Linked DNA regions of Struthio camelus. The protein of the gene in region 1 interacts with the protein of each later gene in a biochemical or structural test. Links are inferred from orthologs where the notes say so. Each region holds a gene or a part of one and is shown in the gene's direction. Other genes may lie near its edges.

The links.
Region 2: the proteins of DOK1 (region 1) and CRKL form a complex in vitro, tested with the Homo sapiens proteins (2 studies listed by BioGRID, with this or other methods). The link is inferred for Struthio camelus from reciprocal best matches to the Homo sapiens genes DOK1 and CRKL.
Region 3: of the proteins of DOK1 (region 1) and TEC, one has a biochemical effect on the other in vitro, tested with the Homo sapiens proteins (2 studies listed by BioGRID, with this or other methods). The link is inferred for Struthio camelus from reciprocal best matches to the Homo sapiens genes DOK1 and TEC.

What each region holds. Positions count from the first base shown.
Region 1 is NC_090945.1:87,727,765-87,735,277, forward strand, and holds the start of DOK1 (docking protein 1), read left to right. Parts: upstream 1-4,502; 5' UTR 4,503-4,557; coding exon 4,558-4,620; intron 4,621-5,256; coding exon 5,257-5,553; intron 5,554-7,513. Other genes in the region: protein O-GlcNAcase-like, read right to left, coding at 2,582-2,621. UniProt on the Homo sapiens protein: DOK proteins are enzymatically inert adaptor or scaffolding proteins. They provide a docking platform for the assembly of multimolecular signaling complexes. DOK1 appears to be a negative regulator of the insulin signaling pathway.
Region 2 is NC_090958.1:9,180,497-9,188,260, forward strand, and holds the start of CRKL (crk-like protein), read left to right. Parts: upstream 1-4,756; 5' UTR 4,757-5,245; coding exon 5,246-5,559; intron 5,560-7,764. UniProt on the Homo sapiens protein: May mediate the transduction of intracellular signals.
Region 3 is NC_090945.1:58,357,500-58,364,409, forward strand, and holds the start of TEC (tyrosine-protein kinase Tec), read left to right. Parts: upstream 1-3,902; 5' UTR 3,903-3,917; coding exon 3,918-3,922; intron 3,923-6,706; coding exon 6,707-6,900; intron 6,901-6,910.

The sequences.
Region 1 (7,513 bases):
TTGCAGAGGGAAGGGCCACTGGAGGGAGGCACCTGGGGAGCAATCTTAGGGCTATCTGCTGGCAAGGACATTCATTAATGAGCGCCGAGGCTGGCCAGAAGGACGTTGTCCTTCCAGAAGGTTGTTCAGCAAAACTGAATGCAGGAAATACAGATCTGGAGTCAGCAAATTCCCTAGCGTTTCTTAGCATTTCTGCTTCTGCTGCTTGCAGGCTCGGGAGGTTGTCAGGCACCAGTGTCCGACACAGGGTTGTGGCTGCAGCGCTGCAAGCTGATCATCTGCCCTGGGTGCCCTCCTGCCAGCCAGAGCAGCAGGGAATGGGGCTGTGGTGGGAATGGCACGTCTCGTCTGCTCCTCACCCTCCTCCAACACTTGAGCCTTGCTATGCACCAAGCATGTCCATCCTCAGCTCTCCACTTAGGCTGGAGGAGCTTCTTTAGATGCTAGTTCACCTGGGGACAATGCGGGAATAGGCAGGTAAAGGAGTCTGGAGAGCTGCAAATTTGACTGCTTCTTGAAGAGAGGTTAAGGAGAACCTGTAAGTGTTCAAGCATAGATTTGAAATTTAGCAAGGCAGGGACCTTCAGCCTCATGGTCAAGTCACGGCAAGACCTGGCGGCTGCAATTAGAAGCCTCACAGAAAATGCATTATGTCTTGAACAGTGATGGCAATTAGCCATCAGGGCAGCTTCCCAGTTTCAGATGGGCTCTGCGTCATGGGCAGCTTTTAACTCAGACAATGCACTTGCCTATCAGATGAGAACAACAAGAGCAGAGATTCAATAAGTGAATGCATTTGCTGGGCTGGGCCGGGCTGCGCACAAGGGCAGATCACAATGACTCTGCTAGTCTGGCAGAAAGGGCCAGCTCTTGGCACCTGGCATGAGGCCAGCATCGCCCAGGAACAAGCTTTCCCCAAAGCACTTGAGCGCAGTAGAGCCACTCTACCTGGGAAGGTCCCTTTGGCAGGAGCCCATCTTGCAGCCCTCAGCACTAACCCTGGGCCATAAGGATGGGGTGGCTTGTGCTACAGCACACACTGAGTGTTTGCTGCAGAGAGATGTTTTACCTTCTTGAACATTCACAAGCATACTCCATCTACTTTGAAACGATATATATTTGCTCTGCTAGTCCTATGCATGGGGTCAAATATGTGGCCACTCAGGGATCCCAGAAAACATCTCACTCAAAGTATTTCTATAGGAAATGGATTTTCCATTTCCCAATCCTTGGGAACTCCTGTTCAGCTCACGATGAGGTCCCAGCAGTCCCCATACAGCACCTGCCTGCAAGGGCCACGCTCACACTTTGTTGTGAGCTGACACTGTCTTGAAAGTATGAGATTCGCCTCGTAGCATGGCCCTGCCAGCAGCAGCCCTGGTGGAGGTGCCGTCCCTAGCCCACTCAGAAAACTGGCTTAAACTGTGCCAGCAAAATCCTGCCTGTGCCCGTGGCTGCATCTCCAAAGCGGTGATGCTGAATCACTGCTTCCTTAAAAACAGACAAGCACTGATGAGTGAGGCTGTTTGCTCTCCCAAGGTCCAGATCACTGTATCAGTGAACATCATTGCCTGCCGACCTCTGGGCGAGCTAGGATGTGCCTGGCTGGAAAGCATCCTCCCAAGACCCTGCCAGCTCCCCTGTCTTGCGTGGTCACCCAGATGTTCTGGCCCATCCAGGCTCTCTGCTGCTGGTGATGTCTCGGCTACCAGGAGGGAGCAGGGGCATCTGGGCAGGACACTCCCGGTCTGCCCGGGCCTGGACGCAGCTGTGCCCTGCTCAGCAGCCTGCCCACCATAGCACCACTGTGCACACCCTGCCAGACCCTGTGCTACTGGGATCACGGATGCCTTTCTTTCCTCACTCTCCAGAAACCTCCTCCTCCTCCCTGAAGAGGAGGTCTCTTTCCCAGGTCAGCTTTCCCATACCAATGATTCTTGTCTGATTCAAATTTCTTTTTACTATCAACTTCCCTATTCTCCCACTTTCTCTTTGATTTGTATTTACTTGTATGGTACAGGGCTGCCAGGAAAGATGGAAGTGCTTTTGCCCAGTGGGTGCCAGGCCCGGCCCAGCTCCAGAGGTGCTGTGCTGCAAGGACTGGGGCTGAGCCACACCGAGCAGCCCTCTGAGAGCAGGATTGGCCCAGGCAGCACCGAGCACAGCCAGGGCAGCGCCGCGCTGGGGGTATGGAGGCAGTGGGAGCACACACAGGGATGTTACCTCCGTGCCCAGGGCAGAGAAAGAGGCACTGTCCAGTGCTGGAGCCAGAGCAGCCGGTGCCCATGCCCTGGTGCAAGGCGGCTGCTGCTTGGACGGCTAGGGAACAGCTGGGGGAGTTTCAGGGACCCGGGCCAGTCTCCCATCCCGGGCGGGGACGGGGCGCCGGGCAGGGACCCAGGCCGGTCCCCCATCCCGGGCGGGGACGGGGCACCGGGCAGGGACCCGGGCCGCTGCCTCCCCGATGCCCGGGGCCCCAGGCACTACGTCTCAGAGCCAGTCTCCCGTCCCGTCCCAGTGCTGTCCGGGCAGAGGGACCAGCCCCGACCCCGACCCCGGCCCCGGCCCCGGCGGCACCTACCTTCCACCACGCCGCAGAGGAAGCGCGGCCGCTCCGCCATGCCCGCGGGCCGGAGCGGCGGAGCCCGGTGCTCGGGCGGGCGGAGGGAGGGAGGGAGGGACGAGGGAAGGCACGGATGCGCGCAGCGATGCGCGGGGGTGAGCGGAGGGATGCGCGGGGGGCCCGGAGGGACGGGCCGGGCGCGGAGGGATGCGCGCAGCGGTGCGCGGAGGGATGCGCGGAGGGACGGGCCGGGGGCGCAGCGGTGCGCGGGGGGCCCGGAGGGACGGGCCGGGCGCGGCCCCCCGCCCGCCCCCGCGGGGACGCGCCGCCGCAGCGCGGGGGGCGGCCCCGGCGGGCGGGGCCCGGTGGGCGGGCCGGGGCTCGGCTGTGTCACCGACCGGAGCGGACGCGGAGCCAGGTGGGCGCACGGTAGCGGCGTGTGGGGAACACGTCGCCTGTGCACGATAAACATGTTACTAGCACGCCGTGCCAGCTCACACGCACTGCTGTGCCAGGTGTCACCACTGCACAATACCCTGTGCCGTCTCACCAGTGTGCGGTGGCACGCACACGTGCACACGCCCACACACATGCACACGCACGCACACACGTTACCAGTGCACCCTTTACGGGTGCTGGGCAGGTACACACACGCACACACACATGCACACACACTACCACTGTGCGGGACCCGGTGTGCACACGTTACCAGCGCGCAGCACACGCGCACGCTAGCGGTACCTGGTGCGCGCGTTACCGGTGTGCCATACAGACCCACACACACGTTCCTGGTGCGTGGCAGGAACGAGCGCCCACAGCTGACTGGTGTGCAGGCGTGGCGTGCACAAGTTACCGTGCGTGGTAGGCACGCACACTGCTATAAGGGGCCCCAGGCCTTCACCAGAGTCAGAGTCAGGCTTCTCTACGAGCGTTTATTTCAGCTTGAGCTGGGTGCCTCCGAAGAGGGACCCAGAACAAAGAAATTCTGGGATACCTATACTCCTTACAGCCTGATTTCCCCGCCTGCCAGCGACAGTCTCTTCCAATCTTCTTTACGGAGTCGCTGGTCTCTGTTCGCTGGTTCGTGTCCACGTCCCAGGACGGCTGCTGTGTTCCCGCTTCGCGGTGCCTTACCTTATGGGAGGTTCACGGCTGCCTCTGCCCCTCGGGTGCTGTGCCTCTGGGGGCTGGTTCGAGCCGCCCCGCACTTGTGTCAGCAGTAGCCCACAGGTTCGGGTAAAGTTCAAGCTTAGGCCTGCAGGCTGCGCTACTCCAAGCACCGAGGCTAAGTTTAATCAAGGCTATGCCAATGGAAATAATGGTAGTTTTCTTACACACATGCATGCGTGTGAGCGCACACACGCGCACACACACACACACACACACACACACACACACACACACACACACACACACAGATGTGTGCACACACATATGCACACACACATATACAGATGTGCGCGCACACAAACATATGCATGCACACATACAGATGTGCACACACAAACACGCTCATATACACACATACAGATGTGCACACACACGCACTCATATACAGATGTGCACGCACATATGCATGCACACATATATAGATGTGCGCGCACACACACAAACACATGCATGCACACATATACACACATACAGATGTGCACACAAACATATGCATGCACACATATACAGATGTGTGTGCACACACACACACAAACATATGCATGCACACATATACAGATGTGTGCACACACACACACACACACAAACATATGCATGCACACGTATACACACACACAGATGTGCGCGCACACGCGCACACACCTCCACCCACCCACCCCCCGGCGCGCGCGCACCCGGCTGCGGTGGGGCATGGCCCGCCCTCTGGCCCCGCCCTCCCCGCCCTGGCCCCGCCCCCAGCCCTGCCCCCCCCCCCCCTCCCCGCCCTGGCCCCGCCCGCGGCCCTGGCCCGGCGCGGCGCGGGGCGGCGGAAGCGGGCGGCCGGCATGGACCCGCCGGCCAAGGAGGGGCCGCTCTTCGTGCAGCAGAGCCACAAGTTCGGCGCCAAGGTGGGGCCGGGGCCGGGCGGCTCGGCTCGGCCCGGCTCGGCTCGGCCCGGCCCGGCGGGCTCGGCTCGGCCCGGCTCGGCTCGGCTCGGCTCGGCCCGGCCCGCTCCCTGCCGCCGGCCCGCCCGCGATTGGGGAAGTCGGGCCGGGGCCGCTGGGGCCCGGGCTCCGCCGCCGGTGGCCGCTGCCCTCCCGCGGGGCCGGCGGAGGTGCGGGCCGGGCCGGGACCAAGCCGGGGGGGCTGGTCCGGGGGGGGTCGAGCCGGGGGGGGGGCTGGGGCTGGAGGGGGTCGAGCCGGTGGGGTCGGGGCAGGAGGGGGCCGGGGCCAGGGGGCCATGTCTGGAGCCGGGGGGGGTCGAGCCGGGGGGTGTTGAGCCAGGGGGGCCGGGGCTGGAGGGGGCCGGGCCGGGGGGGTCGGGGCCGGAGGGGGCCGGGCCGGGGGGGTCGGGGCCGGGGCTGGAGGGGGCCGGGCCGGGGGGGTCGGGGCCGGAGGGGGCCGGGCCGGGCCGGGGGGGGGGTCGGGGCTGGAGGGGGCCGGGCCGGGGGGGGGTCGGGGCTCGGGGCTGGGGGGGGGCCGGGCCGGGGGGGTCAGGGTCGCCCGGGGGCTGCCCAGCCCGGCCGTGACCCGCCGCCCCGCAGCGCTGGAAGAAGAACTGGTTCGTGCTGTACCCGGCGAGCCAGCACGGCGTCGCCCGCCTTGAGTTCTTCGACTGCAAGGACCCGGCCGGCGCCCCCGAGAAGCTCAGCACCAAGCGGCTGGACAAGAAGATCGTGCGGCTGGCCGACTGCGTGAGCGTGGCCCCCGCCGGCGAGAGCGGCCCCCGCCACGGCACCGCCGCCTTCTGCCTGGAGACCAGCGACAGGAGCTACCTCTTCGCGGCCGACAAGCAGCAGAGCGAGGAGTGGGTGGCCAAGCTGTGCGAGATCGCCTTCCCGGTGAGCGCGGGGCCGGCAGCGGCGGGGGCATCCCAGGTCCTGCAGCCGGAGCCCGGCCGCGGTTCGCCTCCGTGGGGGCACCGGTGGCCCCGCAGGGCCCCGGGGAGGTCTGCGCGGGGCAGGCCGGGGCATGGGGGCGTGCGGGAGGGAGGGAGGAGGCTGCACAGCTCCTCGCTTCGCAGCCGCGGCAGCCTGGCTGCGCCCGGCGCGGGGAGCCTGGTCCCGGGAGCTCGGCTGCGGGACACCGGGTCGCTCCGCGTAGCTCCTGGCCGTGCTGGTAACGGGACTCGCGTGGTAACGGGACTCCTCAGCCTGTCCTCGGGTAGCTTCTTGCTTGCGCTCACGCTTCGAGGACTGGCTCTTTTCCCTCTGCCTAGAGCCTTGCGCCCCTCCGTGGACCCCGGCTTGCGTTGGCCTGATCGCTGCCTGCCGTTCCCGCCGCTGGAGGGGCGGAAACAACGCCACGGAGAGCCCTGCGTGTGCAGCTGGCACCAGGAGCCAAACCTGCAGCCAGCTGCAGTGCTGACTGTCGCCCCTCCGCCGGTTCTTGGGGCTCGCCCCTTTTTGGAGCCAGGGTGCCCCCTGTCAGTGCCAGGCCTGCGGCGGAGCCCTCTGTGCCTGGGCCCTGAGGGAGCTCAGCCAGCCCCGCTGGGGAGCGCGGTCAGCTCTGCAGCTCCTCCCTAGAGCAGTTGTGGCCAGCGAGTGTAGCAGCTTGCCTGCCCGCACCTCACACCGCAGCTGCCTGAGACGCCTCCGTGGGAAGGCAGAGTTTGCAGAGCAGCAAGTGCGGCCATCCCCGCTGCCCTGCAGGGCCTCCCGCGCTCGCCCGGCCCCTCTGGGTCCGCCGTCTCTCCTCTGCCAGACGAGATGCCTGCAAGGCTCTGGGTAGAGTTCTTGCTGATTGCAGCTTTGTGAGCGCTGGTCAGGGCTGCCCCGTATGATGACTGGTTGTGAAGCTGGCAATCCTGGGACCTTCCCACGAGGACGCACATGTTTGCTGAGCATGACTTATCTTAAGCCGTTTTTTGTCCCTGCTTGCCTCTCCCTGCAGCCTGCTGTCAAATCACATGTGTTTGCGCAGTGAGCGCCTGCTGGTCAGGCCAAGGAGCACAGGTATGGCACTGGGAATCGTTCCTTGTCTGTGCCAAAGTCCATTTTGTGCGGTGTTGCTGCCTTTTCCCTGGAAAGGGCCTGTGGGGCTGAGCCGGGAACACACAGGAGCGCCTTCACAGAGTGATGTGGGGCAGTGGCAGGGCAGGGGAACAGCTGCTTGGAGCAGGAAGGTGCTCACGCTGTCCCTTACACGGTAGCTGTTAGCCGGATGCTTGTGCTCATGAAGCACACTGACAGCTTGGGAAGAGGTTAGCAAAGTGCTGCGAGGATGGCATGTGTTTTAGAAAGGTCTGGCCTGCAGCAAGAGGCGCAGGAGCTGCGCCTGATCTCTCTGCAAGGAGCTGGTTGTGATTTTTGATCCTCTATATTGGGAGCATGATTTCGTTTGAGATCAGTTGCAGTTCAGGTTGGAATTTCTTTTCCTTCTGAAGATTAGGGCTCCTTTGGGCTGTGCTTTCCCTCAAGGGCTCTGGCAGACTTGCTAGCTGTTGACTTCCTGATCCCAGGCTAGAGCCCTTCCTGCGTAAGATGCTTTAGCTGAACAGGAGCCCTCAGGTCTAGGCTGCTAGGTTTCAGCAGTCCCCAGTCTGACGAGGAGGCAAATGAGAGGGTCTGTAGGGCCTTACCTCCTGTTAAGAAGCCCACGTGACCAGTTTTGAACTGAAACTGTGACGATTTGCCTTCTACAAGACACATATTCTGCTGCAACCCCATCCCACGTGCTTTGACACTGAGAAACGTTTTTCAGCTCCTGACTAAATACAGACCCTCATGCAACCGTGCAAAACCTGCTGAAGCTGCGCCTGCAGGGCACCTGTGAGCCTTTGATTTGCATGGGGCTTCCCTG
Region 2 (7,764 bases), on another chromosome or scaffold:
CAGCAGCTTTTTCTTGATTAGAGGGAGGTGGATTTTTTTCCCCTCCAGCACTGTTAGTTTTCACCTCCATCTCTGAACCACTGCCAATTGGCAAATAAAGCACAGACCTGGTAAATGCAGAAACCCTGCATATAAGCTTCTTCAGGAAGCCCTTTCTGATAACAAACTCTGAACTGCACATGGAGGCTGCAAATAGCTTTTGTTACATTGCAGTATTGGAGACTGAGGAGTATTTATATTTTGCCTACAAAATTGTTTTTAGTATGAAGGAAATAAACATAGTTCTCAAATGTCAGGTGAGATCTCTCTGACCCGGACATCACTAGACCCACTCTTACCAGATTGCACGTGTTGCAGCGGCAATTTGTTTTGTCTGCAAATTGTGAACAAGGCATTCAAGACTTGGTGGTGCAGGTTATCTTCTAAACCCAACTCTTCTAACTAAACCCAGCTATCTAGCTGAAGTCTAATTGTACTGCTTGCAGTGCATTTTACATTTTGACTAGCAGTTCTAGAAAGACCAGTGATGCTCTGCAAGTGAAAATGTTTTCTAGGCTCTTTCATGATAAAAAAAAACTTTGTCTGGCTTCTGTTTCCTTTTCCTGTGTATACCACTAGAGGGTATTATATACTATTGCAAATAACCAAGATGATAGGTTAATTCTTGGATTACAGGGGAGAATATAAGATATTTGTGAGTAGTTATTAAGCTAGAGAAACATCTTGTGATAACTCATGTTTTTATTTTTTCCAACTTCTTCCTATCACTCCTTCAGTGTTTGAATACTGATTGTAGATATTTTCAGGTGATCCCCATTTTTCCTATCCATTAGTCAGTATATGCAATTTTGCGATTGCATTATTTATTAAATGTTGCAGCTGGATGCTGTGCAAAGCAAATCAATATAAGGCTTAAAATGTAGTTATGAGGAAATGACTTTTTCTTCAAGCAGATCACATACGTTAGAGAAGTGTTCTACTATTTTTTCTATTTTTTTTCAGTTACTGATAAAATACAGTTAAATTACATCAACTAAACCTAAGAGCAGATATTATGTATTTTGATTTAGCAAAAAACAAAGCTTCAGTTGCTTTCACCCCAAGAATTTCTTTTCATCTGGGGTGTATTGTGACTGTCAAAAGTTATAATACGTACTACCTTACCTGCATGTATTTTGCTTGGGTAGAAAACAGAGTTTAGCTTAGCTCAAACCAATCTAATCATTTAGCAGTAGCTCGCTTTCGTCTAACATGTACCTTTCCAAACCAACACATAGGCTAAACAATAATGAAATTGCTTTGTTTTAGAATTGGCACTTTTACCTAAATTGGCAGGTGTAAAGAGCTTTGTTCTTCTTGTTTACTGCAGTTACATATAGAGAGAAATTGCAAGAGACTATACATTGATATGTTGAGCCATGATTACTATTGATGGGTTTTCTTATCAAAGATAATGCTTCAGGAACCTTGCCTTCATGAGCCCAGTGAAATGTTGTGTTATCTTAAGAAAAAGATGCATAGAGATTTCTGGCTGATTCTTCTTTTTTTTTTTTTTTAAATAAATCCTCTGCCTCCTAAATGTGTCAGTCTTATAGTAAGAAGCATTCCTTTTTTTTTTTTTTTTTTTTTTTAAAAACAGTCCTCTAAGACAGTAGTATAGTATAAGACATTGAGGTCAGATGGACAATGAATTAAGAAAGCTTTAAATATTTGAGGTCTGTAAGAGAATAGCCACACAATTCTTTCAGAACTAAGTGATCAAAATACAAATGCTTAAACTGCTGATACATTAGAAAGTCCAAAAGAATAATAACTAGGTTTCTTGATCATCTATTTTCCTATTTCCTGTCCGCGCAGAGGCAAAGTTATATAGGCATATTTGCTAGATTTGTAATTAGTGGACATGTATCCTGAACTATTTCAGGCTTCTGCATTTGGAGAAGTGATTGTAACTGCTTCAGTTTTTGTTTCATAACTGCTTTCACTACTGTATTTCTTCTCCACCTACTTCCAAATCCACCGTCTCCTTTCCCATTTCCTCTTGATTTAGATTAGGGTTGTTAATTTTGCTGTGGAAGCACAATTCATACTTGATCTGAAACAAATAAGGAGTCTCATTCTATACCCTTGATAGAAGTTTACTTCTCCTTACTTAGAATCCAGCCACATGTACAATTTATTTGTTATTCAGTACAACTGATAGGGGCAGAAGCTTCTGGTGAAAGGAGGAAGGAGCAGCTGGGCATGGGGAAAGAGGGACAGGAACCTTCTCAAGGGAATATTGTGCCAACAGAGTTTTTATTTCATCAGCAGCTGATGCACTTTAAGAAATCCCCACCTCCTCAGTTGTGCTGCAGCAACCATTCGACCATCCTCTGAGAGGGTGGAAGCCACCAATGGGTGAGAGAAAGAGCATAAACTTCTGTATATGTAATAAAAAGGTAAAGTGGTTCCATTAAACAGTCCTAAAAATCCATACATTTCTCCACTCTTCCTAGACAAACAGTAGTTGTAGGGATTTAACACATCTAAAATCACTGCCTGTAGTCTAGGTAGCTGATGCCCAGTCTTAGCAAGTAGTATTAACAATCTTGAACAAGTTACTTCTTTTCTCTTAGTGTAATAGAAATGGGATCTTTTACCTAGATCTGGCCTGGTTAAACCACAGCTACTGAAACTGAAGCAGGAATTACCTGAAGGGTACATGCAGCCTGCAAGAATGTAGGAGGTCAGAACAGATAATTGTGACAGCTCCTTCCAAATTGAAAACCTCGCTACATTTTAGAATCTTCTTTGGATGAAAAGGCATCTATTTTTTACTGATTCTGCTGCTAACTTGTGACTTTTTGTAATTATGTTTAAATGGTGTTGGGTATGTTATTGCAAATTGAAATACTATCTTTCAATCTCTACATTTTGGCTATGGCCACACAGAAAATGATCCAAATCCGTTCAAATGACAGAAGAAAACACAGCACCCTTCATAGTTTGTGGTAGCCTGTCTGCATGCATTTAAAATTGATTCCAATTGACAGATATGAGAACTTAGACCAGTAGGAATGAATCAGAGGTATAGCTGCCAGGTAAGTTGCCCTAGAAATGGAAGAATATCTTTACACAGCTGTATAGCTTCAGACGGTATTCTTCACCTTTAGGTCTGCTCAGTTTGGCTAGCACTGCTGCACATGGCTAAACAGCTGCTGTTTTCCACCCAGGAGATGGCTGTACTTCAACGGCTGGTAAAGTGATACCTGTACATGTATTTAGGGGCATGCTTTAAGATCCTTTCGCGCTAGTGATGAGATTTTCTTGAACAATTTTGTTTAAGCCATAAGCATCCGAGTAGGCAAGTCTTCCATTTTAGATCGTTTGAACTATGCTGAATGTCTAGAGAGATACATCCCATGCTTTCCAGTCCAAACACTTCAACTGGCACTAGTGGCCAACGTAGGAAGAAAAACAAGGAGAAAAAAAAAGACCGTGCTGTAACTAAGCTTTCAGAAAAGACAGAGCATGAAAGAAAAATATCAAAGCTGGAATAAGCTGACACAATAGGTCCAACTGAGCACTTCAAAACAGTCAACCTAAATCCGTCTCTTCTTGAAACGTTATTTACATGCTTAAAGCTGCTTCATTTTCACGCTGTCAGCCCCAAAAGCAAAACGAAAAACAAAAATCAAGGACACAAATTAAACAAAGTCATGAGAGCGAGCTAAAATCACAATGTTTGTAAAGGTTTATCACATGTCTGGGGAACTAGGTCTTTTGGGTGCTGTTTATTTTGGCATGCCGTTGCCCACTGCAGTGGGATACGCTAATTACCACCAGCGGCCCTCCCAAACTTGAGTCAGAGGGCGTAGGCCTCGCTGCCCACGCTCCCGCTCCTCCTCTGAGGTCACAGCGCGCTGAGCTCCCTCTAAAATTCAAACAGCTCATGCTGCACCGCCTGCCCTGCCCTCGGGGCTCGCCGCATCCTTTCCGGGGGTTTCCTTCCTCTTGGCGGCTGCAAGGCCATCGCCGTCGTCCCTTCCCGCCCGGCGCCCTCCTCGCCCCCGAGACCAGAGGCGAAGGCCTTCGCCCCCGTTAGCTGCGAACAGGCCCAGCAGAAGAGACAGGAAACCGTCTCCTCTCCTGAGCTACGTAGGAACTTACCTCCCTCAGAGGGGGTTATCACGGGGGTGCCTTTTGCCCTTCCAAAAAATTCAATTAACAGAACAAGAAAACCTCAGCCAGGCTGATCTCCGCCTCAGGGAGCCCTCGCCCGGGACGGGGCGGCCGGCACACAGGGATGGAGCGGGGACAGGCCGAAGCGGGGCACGCCGAGGGGGGCACGGCGGTGGGTGAAGGAGGTAAATGGCCCCCCCCCGACGCGCTGCCCAAGGAGCGGCCAGGCTCGGCTAGGCAGGCTTTCGTGGGGGGAGGAGGAGGGCGGGGGAGGCCGCGGTAAGGCCTGCTCGGTGCTCCGGGGCGGCCGCCCAGGAGGGGGGGGGCCCGCTCCCCCCGGCCTCCACAGCAGCGGGCCGGGCGGCCCGGCCGGGGCTCCGCCGCGGAAGGCTCGGACCGCCCCGGCGGGGGGAGGCGAGGGCGCTGCCGCCCCTCAGACCGCCGCCCCTCCCCCCGCGGCGCGCGGTCGTCGCCGCCGCCGCCGCCGCCGCCGCCTCCTCCTTCCCCCCCCCCCCCCCCCCCCGGCGCGAGCCGAGAAGCGCAACGCGCCTGCGCGGCCGCCGCCGCCGGAAAACTCCCACCGCCCGGCGCTGCCGCCGCCATTTTAGCATTCGGCTCCGAGAGTGGAGGGAAACCGGCAGGAGAAAGCGGGAGCCGAGCGCTTCTGTCCGTCCCCATCCCCCCCAGCCCCCGAGGCAGCGGCAGCGGGCTCCCCTCGCCGCCCGTCCTAGTGAGCCGGCGCCGCTCGCCCAGCCCGGCCCGCCGCAGGCCTGCGAGCGAGGCGGGAAGGATGCCCTGCACACCCCGCCGCTGAGGGAGACTCGGGGGCCCCGACCGCCGCGCCGCGCCCGCCCGCCCTGCCCCGCCCCGGCCGCTGCTCGGGCTCCGCCGGCCCGGGGCTTCCTTCTCTCTCTCCCGCCGGGCCTCCTATCGCTGGCTGAGCACTAGCCGCTTCCTGCTAGCCCCCAGCCCGCTCCGCCTCCCCGCCCAGGCCTTCCCTTCTCCGCGTCTCTGCCTCCGCCTGGGCCTTCGGGCTCTTCACCTTCCTGCCCCGCTCCCTTCCCCTTCCCCGCCCGGAGCCATGTCCTCCGCCGCTCGCTTCGACTCGTCGGACCGCTCCAGCTGGTACGTGGGCCCGGTGTCGCGGGCGGAGGCGCAGACGCGGTTGCAAGGGCAGCGGCACGGCATGTTCCTGGTGCGGGACTCGTCCACCTGCCCGGGGGACTACGTGCTCTCGGTGTCGGAGAACTCCCGCGTTTCCCACTACATCATTAACTCCTTGCCCAACCGCCGCTTCAAGATCGGCGACCAGGAGTTCGAGCACCTGCCCGCCCTGCTGGAGTTCTACAAGATCCACTACCTGGACACCACCACCCTCATCGAGCCGGCGCCCAGGTGAGTGCCAGCCTCCCCCCCCCGCGGCCCCGGCATCCCCACGCTGGACGCGGGGCCCCGCCGTGCCTGCTCAGGAAACGGCCCCTGAGGGCCCTTCCTTGGGAACCGCTTCCAACAGCGATCCTCCGCACTCCGGATCTCACCGGCCGTTCCGAGCTGCTCTTGCAGGTATATCGGCTATAGCAGTGCACGTCCTTACAGAGCCCGTGGGCATGTGCGAAGGTGCTGCGTGCATCTCTGCCCCCCGACTGCAATTCTCTCGCAGTGGGTGTGGCCTCGCTTTGTATCAGCCTGGCGGTATTGTCCTGCTCCTCGGGCGGTTGAGGACCTGGTTCACAGCTCTTCCACTCAGCGATCGAGATACAGCCTCAGAGCTGTCCGTCTCCGCGTCCACAGCGGTTAGAACAGAAAAGGCCTTTACGTGGTTAGGCTGTACCACCCTGTTAAGTTAGTTTTAACGCGTTCTAGGACAGCGTTTCCCAAGCTTCTGGAGTTCACTTCCCCCGAAGAATGGAAATCGTAATATTTCTCCCAGCCTGGTAATGGCACTGTATGCCTGTGTCTGCATACTGCATGCACTACACTAAAAAATGCTGCTCTAGGAGGATGGAAAAATATGACATAGCTATGAGCTCATTCTTTGTTCTGTTCCCAACATGAGACATAACCTGCTGCTTGCATCAGTAAACTATTTTAGATTTATTGATGAACTTGCTCGCTCCTTACTTTGATTTATAAAGCTTTTCTCAGTATGTTATTTCAAAGCTGTTCAGCTTCCTGTACAGAATGGAGTGAAAATAAAAGCTAGATAAATAGTGAGACACACACAGACAAACAAATTCAAATTAGTTCACTACTAAATTCAGCAGTTTAAAATGTTCCTATCATCTGCAGATTAAATAAGTTCTTAAGGAAAAAAAAAGAGCTTTTTGCTCACGAGTTAAGCTTGGCTTTAAGCATAGTGATGTTCTTAACAGTCAGTAATGTCAAAAGTTGACAATATCTTGTCAAATTCCACAACTCAGATGGTCAAAAAAAATCTTTCTGCAGAGCTGTCAAGTGATGTAAGGGATGTGACAAGTCACTAGCTTCTAGAACTGTTAAAGCTGCTAGAAAGTCTGCACAATTGTGCTTTGGCTGGAAAGATGAATAGGTGAAGAATTTGCTCATCTTTCACAGTTGCAGGGCTACTTAAATGGAGCTGCCCAGCATTATGCGCATGTTTAAACTTGCAGATGGTTGGGAGGAAAAACCTACATTGAAGCAATCCTTATGTTTATCTCAATTCTTCCCTGAATATGGATGTGCTTTTCTGAAAATAAGAACCTGTTCATAGTCATGTATGGCAATAACTTATTTTGCTTTCCTCAGCCACTTAAAAACTTGGTGTCACTTAGCTGACCCCAACTTGCTCACTTCCTATTTATTTAGAATCTTGTGTCAAGCACATTACAAACATTTCAGAACCACATCACTTCAAGCTTTTGATTGCATATAGGAACTGGTGGTTGCTCCCCTAGCGTACAGAGACAGATTTGAGACCTTGCATGCTGTGGACTGACCTTTTTTTTTTTTAAACAGAGCTATTAATGGGATTGATTAGATGGTTTTGTTCATAGTATTTTTGTTCAAACTCTTGGAGAAAAATCAATGACACAGTTGATGGCTCAAAATTAAACTTAAAGGAGACTTCCTGCTAGAAGGGAGAAAGAAAAGTAGCATTTCCTGACTTTTTTTTTTAAAAAGGTAATGAACTGGACTTAGAATACGAAGGGTAGGCATATGCTTCAGAACTGTTATTTCTTTTTCTTCCTTATAAAAACTTGGCTTTTTTGGGAGGGGGGAATACTTTATTCAGGTTCTTGTATTCTTGAAGGCTTTTTTTTAAATACCGTTAAGGACAGGATGAGGAGATAGTTGTCATGATGAGATTGAACAAGTTTGTTGGTGTACAAGTTTCTTTAGCTGCAGGAGATGACGTTTATGCCAAAACAGTTGAAAACTAAATTTTCTATTTGTTTTCTGGCAATAGTGAGTTTTTACCATCATTGCAGATGTGCCTAGGCCCTTGCTTGTGTGGAGTGACTGGTCTCTAAAGTTTCTTCCTCTTTGGCTTCAGCAGGATACCTTAAAGAAACAATTATATTCCTATTTAAGGTTTCTGGAATATCTTAATAAAAAACACAACCAACCAACCATACTTAA
Region 3 (6,910 bases), about 29 Mb from region 1:
TCCCACAAAAGGCTTTATCAGCCACTGTGGTGGAATGAGGTGGGAAGGAAGGGAGAGAGCATCTCCAGCACTAGCTGCATCAGAAAAGCCAGAAAATCTTTTGAGAATTAGAAAGCCTTATAAAACATGAAATGAAAACTTGTTGTAATCCATACCTCCACCAAAAATCCTCCATTAGTTGATCTGTCAACTCAAATTGGCTAACTCCAGGTCAGCAGTCATTGGGGAGGACAACCGCAACATGGCAAAGGACCACAGAAGGGCTTTCTTCTATGCCTTTGCTGCCCCTGCAGCCCAGGGGTAAAGTCCCAGAAAAGATGTAGCGGCTCCTGATCGTATCACATTGTAGCATAATCCTTTTCCGCTAAATGACACTTTCTGGAACTTAGAAATGGCACTGTATTGAGTAATGCTATTCCAGCTCCCTCCTTAAGCAACTGTTTAGTCTTACTGTCCTTTCCTCCTGCCACAGCAGCAGGTGGGGGGAGGGGGGGAAGGAGGAGAGGAGGGCGGCTATAGCTGCTGTTGCTCCAAAAATGCAGTTGCAGTTGCCAGTGTAGTGCCCACTTGGCAAAACTGATGGTGGCAGCAGGTTAGGTGGTCTGCATAAGCACCTAAGTGTGTGCTACTGTGAGTGTGCAGGGACTGCGTGGAGGGTGGTGGGAGAGGGCTGGTGAGACGGGGCCCTGCGAGGTGGCTACACGGTGACTGTCCCTTGCATGTGGCAGAGGTTCCCCATGGCTCCCTGGGCTCAGTAGCAGCGTGACAGGCATGGGAGACACGGCAGTGGCGAATGCATGCTTCGGAGGAAATCCCCCAAGTGAAAACAAAGACTACTCTGCAAGTCATTTCCTCCAGGCTGAACAGAAAGACATCTGTGCTGATCCAGCCATTACATACTAGTCACAACAAAACAATGTGCTTCCAAGCAGCATAGGCCCCAAGTTCTCTTCCTGCTGGACTGATACTTAAAAATATTTGAGATGTGCTTTAAATGATCTTTACAAGCTCTTTTTTCCCTTGATGGGATTTTGTAAACTGACAGTTGCTGCAGGGGAGATTGGGCTAAGACAAGGTCAGGAAGAGGGACTGGGTGATATCTCACTATAGACCTCAAAACTTGAGTTCAACACCAGCTCCTGACTGGTGTGAAAAGCTGCCTTCAGTTTTGTCTTCTGTAAACGAGTGCCTGAGCTTGGGGGTGGTTGGATGTGACCATTATGCATAGTTAGGTATGAAGGAAGGAATTGTAACCCCAGCTTCTCTCCAGGCTTGGGGCAGATTTGACCCGCAGAAGCCAGGAGCCGCGACGGAAGGTACAACCCGCTTGGGACAGAGAGGAGCTGCGCCCCACCGCTTCCCCAGACCCGTGTGTGCCTGCTCTTTCTTCACTGTGACATCGTTCAGAGTAAGCAGCACCTGAGCCAAAACACTTCTCACACACATTGTAACTCCAGATGGTGCAAGCAGCTAGGCGCACGCAGATTTGGGGGAGAGTTTGCATCCTGCTCCGAGTTTTATAACTTGCACCCCCCCCCCCTTTTAAAATTTTCTTTGCTCGGTGGAAACACCAGTGAAACGGGGCTTCTTCATGTGGGTCACCTTTTTTATTTTAGTTTCTCGCCGCCTCACACCTGCCGCAAGCCAGGTGGGCGATTAGGGCAACGCCGGCCGCAGCGCAGAGCTCCGCGGGGGGGGGGAGGCGGAGACCGCCCCCGCGCACCACCCCCAGCGCAGCGGCACCGCCGCTTCCTCTGCCGGCGCTGCCTCGTAGGGAGCCGCTCTCCGCGGTGGAAGGGCGAGTGCGGCTGCTTCCGTCCCCGCACCGGCGGCGTCGGGGCCCCATCCGCGGCGCCGCGCTGCGCTCGGCCGACTGCAGGTAAGGCAGCCGCGGGGCCGCCGGTTCGCGCCCCCGTCGGCGCCCGCCCGGGCGCGGGCCGCCCTGCCCGGCGGGTGGCAGAGAGGGGTTTTGTTTTGTTTTGCTTTAATTTTATGTTACTGGTGTTGGGCGGGAGCGGTTGCCGCCTGGGCCGGCCGGTGTGGGCGCCCGGCGCAGGCAGCCGCGTTTCTGCCCCTCAGAAGCGCCCGCCGCTAGTAAGGCGGGCGGGGCGGCTCGGCCGCCTTTGCCTTGCTGGGACGGCTGTCAGCCGGCTGCCGCGGCGCGGCGCGCTGCGCTGCCGCTGTCCTCGCACCTTGAAGCGTGTACGATGCAGCAAGCGTAGAAGTATTTCTCAAAACTAATAGCGTCCAAATGCAATGGAGTTCTGTAAACGGCAGGCTATAATAAAAGCCACGCTTTAAACCTCTGCTTAAAATTACTATGACTTCTGTAATATAAGGCGCTGTAGTCCAGACTATCAAGCCCATTTTAAAGCTAGCATTTGCTTTGTATTTCTTTGTTTACATGACTTTCTGCTATGAAGGTCTTTCCTTGTAACTATGTAACTGCTGTGCTAAGGGGCACTAATCTGTCGTGTCTCAGTATACTTTGACACTTTGTGAGAGTTAAGCAATCTTAATAGCTTCCCTTGCCCGCTGTCCTGCGATGTGACTGTCCTTTCACCGTGGTGAATGCTCTAACGTAGTCTAACGCTCAAAAACAGCATACTTGCAACCAGCCCAGTCGGTAACCGGATTCCCAATTTTTTCCAAGTCCCTCTAAGTTAGAACTGGTAACTATCTGAACCTTAAATTGGACTTTAAGTGTAGATGCTCTGTGAATTTTCTACTTGCTAAAGTAAGGTATACCTTTATCTTTCCAAATGCTAATGTGAAATAGTTGGTGTTATTCTGTGAGTCAAACAAGAGCGTATCTTTTAAAGACTGAAAAAGCTGACTGTAGTAGAAATGCAGCTACATATATGTCTTGGGAGTACTTGTTTCTTTCTTGACCATTTGTTTTTATTTTAGAGTAAATGCTGCAGGTGCTTTATCTGACTATCTTACCTTTGACACAGCATGGCTGCAGAGTTAAGCATTGCTGTTTAATTTCTCTCAGAGTTGTCCAGCAAGTGGAAGATGAGTTGTTAGTTATGGCTGGTATATAAAAGTTTAGAGTAGCCCTGGCCCAAAGAGGGCACGGGCCATATGAACGGACTCCCAGTGACATTTGAGTGAGTACCCAGAGTGATTCTGAGTGTGCCCTTCTTCTCCGCATGCCAGTTGTGCTGCTTGGCTCGTGCTGCCCTTCACACCAAAAGCAGCTGTCTCCCTTCCCTGGGCAGGAGCGCTGGTGCTTTCTCTTCTTGCGTGGCTGTCCATCTCCTCCCTGCTTTTTTCCCCCACAAAGGCTCCCTTTCTTGCTTTGTCTCTCCTAGATACTTTTCTATGTTTCATCTCCCACAAAGCTTTTCCCATTGAGCAGAGTGGTCTGCTGGAACGTGTGGAAGAGGACTCGACAGCGCAGTGTTCTCATCTTGTTTCACGGGTGCTGTGCTCGTAGGTGCACCTCCCTGCACGAAGCGCTGTAGTGGGCAGCACCGCAAAAGGTTGGGGAAAGGGAACTGGCCTGCAGAGCAGAAGTTGTAGGCTGCCTCCTTTCGAAGCAGCACCCAAGTGATGGGGAGTATTCAGTAGCCTGCTGTACCCAGTTTCAGGGCTTCATCACTCTGTGCCGCTGCTTCTTTTAGTCTTTTGGCAACTGCTGTTTGTAGGGGGATTATAGCAGGAAAAGCCGTTTGCTATCAGGATCCCCTATGATAGTCTTTCTTTTCATATTTTTTCAGATTTTATTTTCCATGATTTATTGTTTAAGAAATTAGGGCTTATCATGAAGTTACTGCATTTGTCTCTCCGTTTATCCTTGTAGGAAGGGATGCTTTACATGCTCTGCTCATTCTTAAAACGAGTATTATGAATGCTTTGACCCAAATCATTTCTACATAGGTTTGCCTGCTGAAGTCACTAAAAACCTAGCAATGAGGTAAGGTTTAGCACCTGGTTACTTCTCTCTCTCTTTTCTTTCCTTTTTCTTTTTCCTTTTTTTGTGTGCGTGTGCACGCTTGCATAGCTATGAAAAACAGGGATGAAGATTTGGAGTTTTCATAGTTAAAATATACTTTTTCATAAAGTGACTTTAGTTCTCATATGCCATTTTTTTTATTAGCTCCTCGAGAGGCATAGAAGGAGCACTCCTTGTTTTGGAAGTTACAGCAGAAGTTAATGCTTTAAAATAGTTGATTGTCAGGCAACTAAAATTATGCCCTTAGTTACATTACACTTTAATTCCTAGCTGTGTGCTCAGTATTGTGAGCGTTGTAATGTATCCAGAAACTCTGGCTGACTGCCTATAGTGGCTACAAATGGAGATAAATAAAATGGAGCTGATAAAACAATATACAACTGATAATGTTTTATCTTAGCCTGAAACACATTGTTTTCAGAAAGGCCATGATACTGTAGTATCCTGTAATTAATGATAAAATAACTAGGAAGTGGTTAACTTTACAGAATTGCTTGACAGCAGCAAGAAAAAATTTTGTGCCTCCCCCCATATAGATGAAACCTATTCTAGATTAGTTCCCTGTATATTGTGTTAGCTTATAAACTGAGTACACAAGATAAGGTGCAGAATGGTCTAACTTTCATATAAGTGTTTGTATCTCAAATACGTAAAACACTTTCTGCTTATTTGATAATGGAACTCTGTGATTCCTGCTGTCTACACAAAGATCATGGAAAAATGTCTTTAATCTCCCTTAACCGTTGACCTCTAACGTGTTTTGCTTGTTTTGATGTTTTTCTGTAACCTATTGTGTTCTCATTGCTGAAGTTGGAACTGTGCTTTAGAAAAGCCACAAGTTTGTGTGTGCCAAAGTATCACTTATAACAGTCTACAATGGCTCTCCTGCAGAAATAGGGTAAGAAAATAATGGTATTAAAATCAAATGAGCTAGAAAGCAATACCTTGACAAAGCAGGATAAAGGTTGCCATGAGGAAGAAGGCCTGATACATATATATCATTTTTTTTCTCTGCCTGTTGTCTTTATAGTTCAAAGAACTTGCATGCTTCTGAAGGACAACCATTGTATGATTTAATTTGTACTACAGATATTTGTATTAGTTGATGCATATATTTGTAGCCAAGGTGTTGGTAATTCTGCCCAAAGTAACAGCAGTGGTCAGTTATTGTACCACAAAAGCTGTGGACCAACAATATTTCTTTAAATGGCTTGCTGATGCCCGTAACTTCCTATGTTATGCGAAGCACAAGGGACGAAACTGTCGTTCTGCTGACTGCAGTGTGACAGCACTACTTATTGCAAAGGGATCAGCCTGATTTACCTTAATTCTCACGACCAGAGTGTAATGCTAGCATCAGGCCTTAGTTATGTTACTAACATAACTTGGCACAACTGATGAAATTGAACCTGCTTTTAACAAATGTTTAGCCAGGTCTAGAGAAATGTATTTTTGCTGATGAACAGAGGGTGTTAGTTCTCGGGGCAAATCCCTGGTTTGCTATACTCTCCTCAGACCTGCACCCTGCTCCTCTGTTTTTGGTCTTTTTTTTTTTTTTTCCAAGTGCATTTTATGAAGGAAAAGGCAGTAGCTTTCTGTCCTGCTTGACAAAGCAGGACCTGGGAATGGGTGACTTGCAACTGACCACTGCCCCGTGGTGATTACAGCTCTGGCAACACTCGGTCATCCTCTGCCTCAGACTCACAGGCAATGATTCAGAGTCAGGATGCAGAAGCAGGAACATTATCATGTGAGGCAAAACTCTGGAAAAAAAACAAATGGACTTTTACATATGGGGAGAATAGCATCTTCATAAGAGACCCTTTGAGGGGGAAAAATGGGTTTTTTACAATTCCTTGTAAGTGGAGGCATGATGGAATAAGAAAGAGAGGTCAGTTCCTCACACAGTGAAGTGGCTGGTATGTTCAAATAGGATCATGAAATCTCTCCAAGAGTAACAGAAGTCTCTTGGGAATAGGTCTGTCTCTTAGGGACAAGGTTTACCTTCCTTGTCAAGAATGACGTTGCTAACAAAGTATTTTGTTTCAACAATACTCACCCTTCAGGAGAAAAAACTACGTTGCCGAAAAGACACTCTTTTGTGGACGACTGTTGTATATTTGGGAGGTTCAGTGAAGCCCACGTCTACCTCAGCTTGTCTGGCCTCGGTAACTGTGGGTGGGAGAGCTGGGTTTTGAGCCTGCCCCAGGGAGACAAGATGCTGTCTGGAGAGACAGCCTGGAGGAGCGTGGGCCTGGCTGGCTGCTGAGGTACGAGACTTGTTCCCGGTCTGTCGAGAGCAGCCATGGGAGGAAGCTCTTGGTGACTGCCAAGAGGCTTATTTGGCTTCTGGAGGCAGTCGCAGCCCCTCTTCCAAGGAAAAGCAGTGGGCTGCTAGCTGGGCCACGTAGTTTCAATTCTTAAGGTGAAAAATCCTATGCAGTGTTAAACAAACACAGGAAGCAAAGTTTCAGGGAGCCAGTGGGTATATGGCGCCTGGGCTGAATGCTTTCTTGGCGCTTCCACTTTTCCTCATTCATGCTTCTGTTGTCAGCGGGTTGTATGAATGGGTACCACTTTGCTACAGTTATGGTATAACTTGATGTATGTTCAAGTAGGTCACAGAATAGTTTCCTGTCAGGAGAGGTTTTGCTCAACTCTGTGCCTATTGCAAGATGTGAAGATGTGATCTGATTAAATCATAAAAACACTTTAGATCTGGGCCTTATTTGCGCTTGAATATAGGGCAGAGAAGAAACTGGCTTTGAGTGCTGCAGGAAGTGGGGCTCTTCCTTTTGAACCATGGTCCAGGCAGAACTCACAGGGACTCAGCGCTGCTGGGAAACATGCTGCTCACTTCCAGTTTGGATTGGGACCAATCCCTGACCACTTATACTTACTAAACAAAAGAAGAACTTTTTTTTCCTCCCTTCTCCAAGGTAACCACAT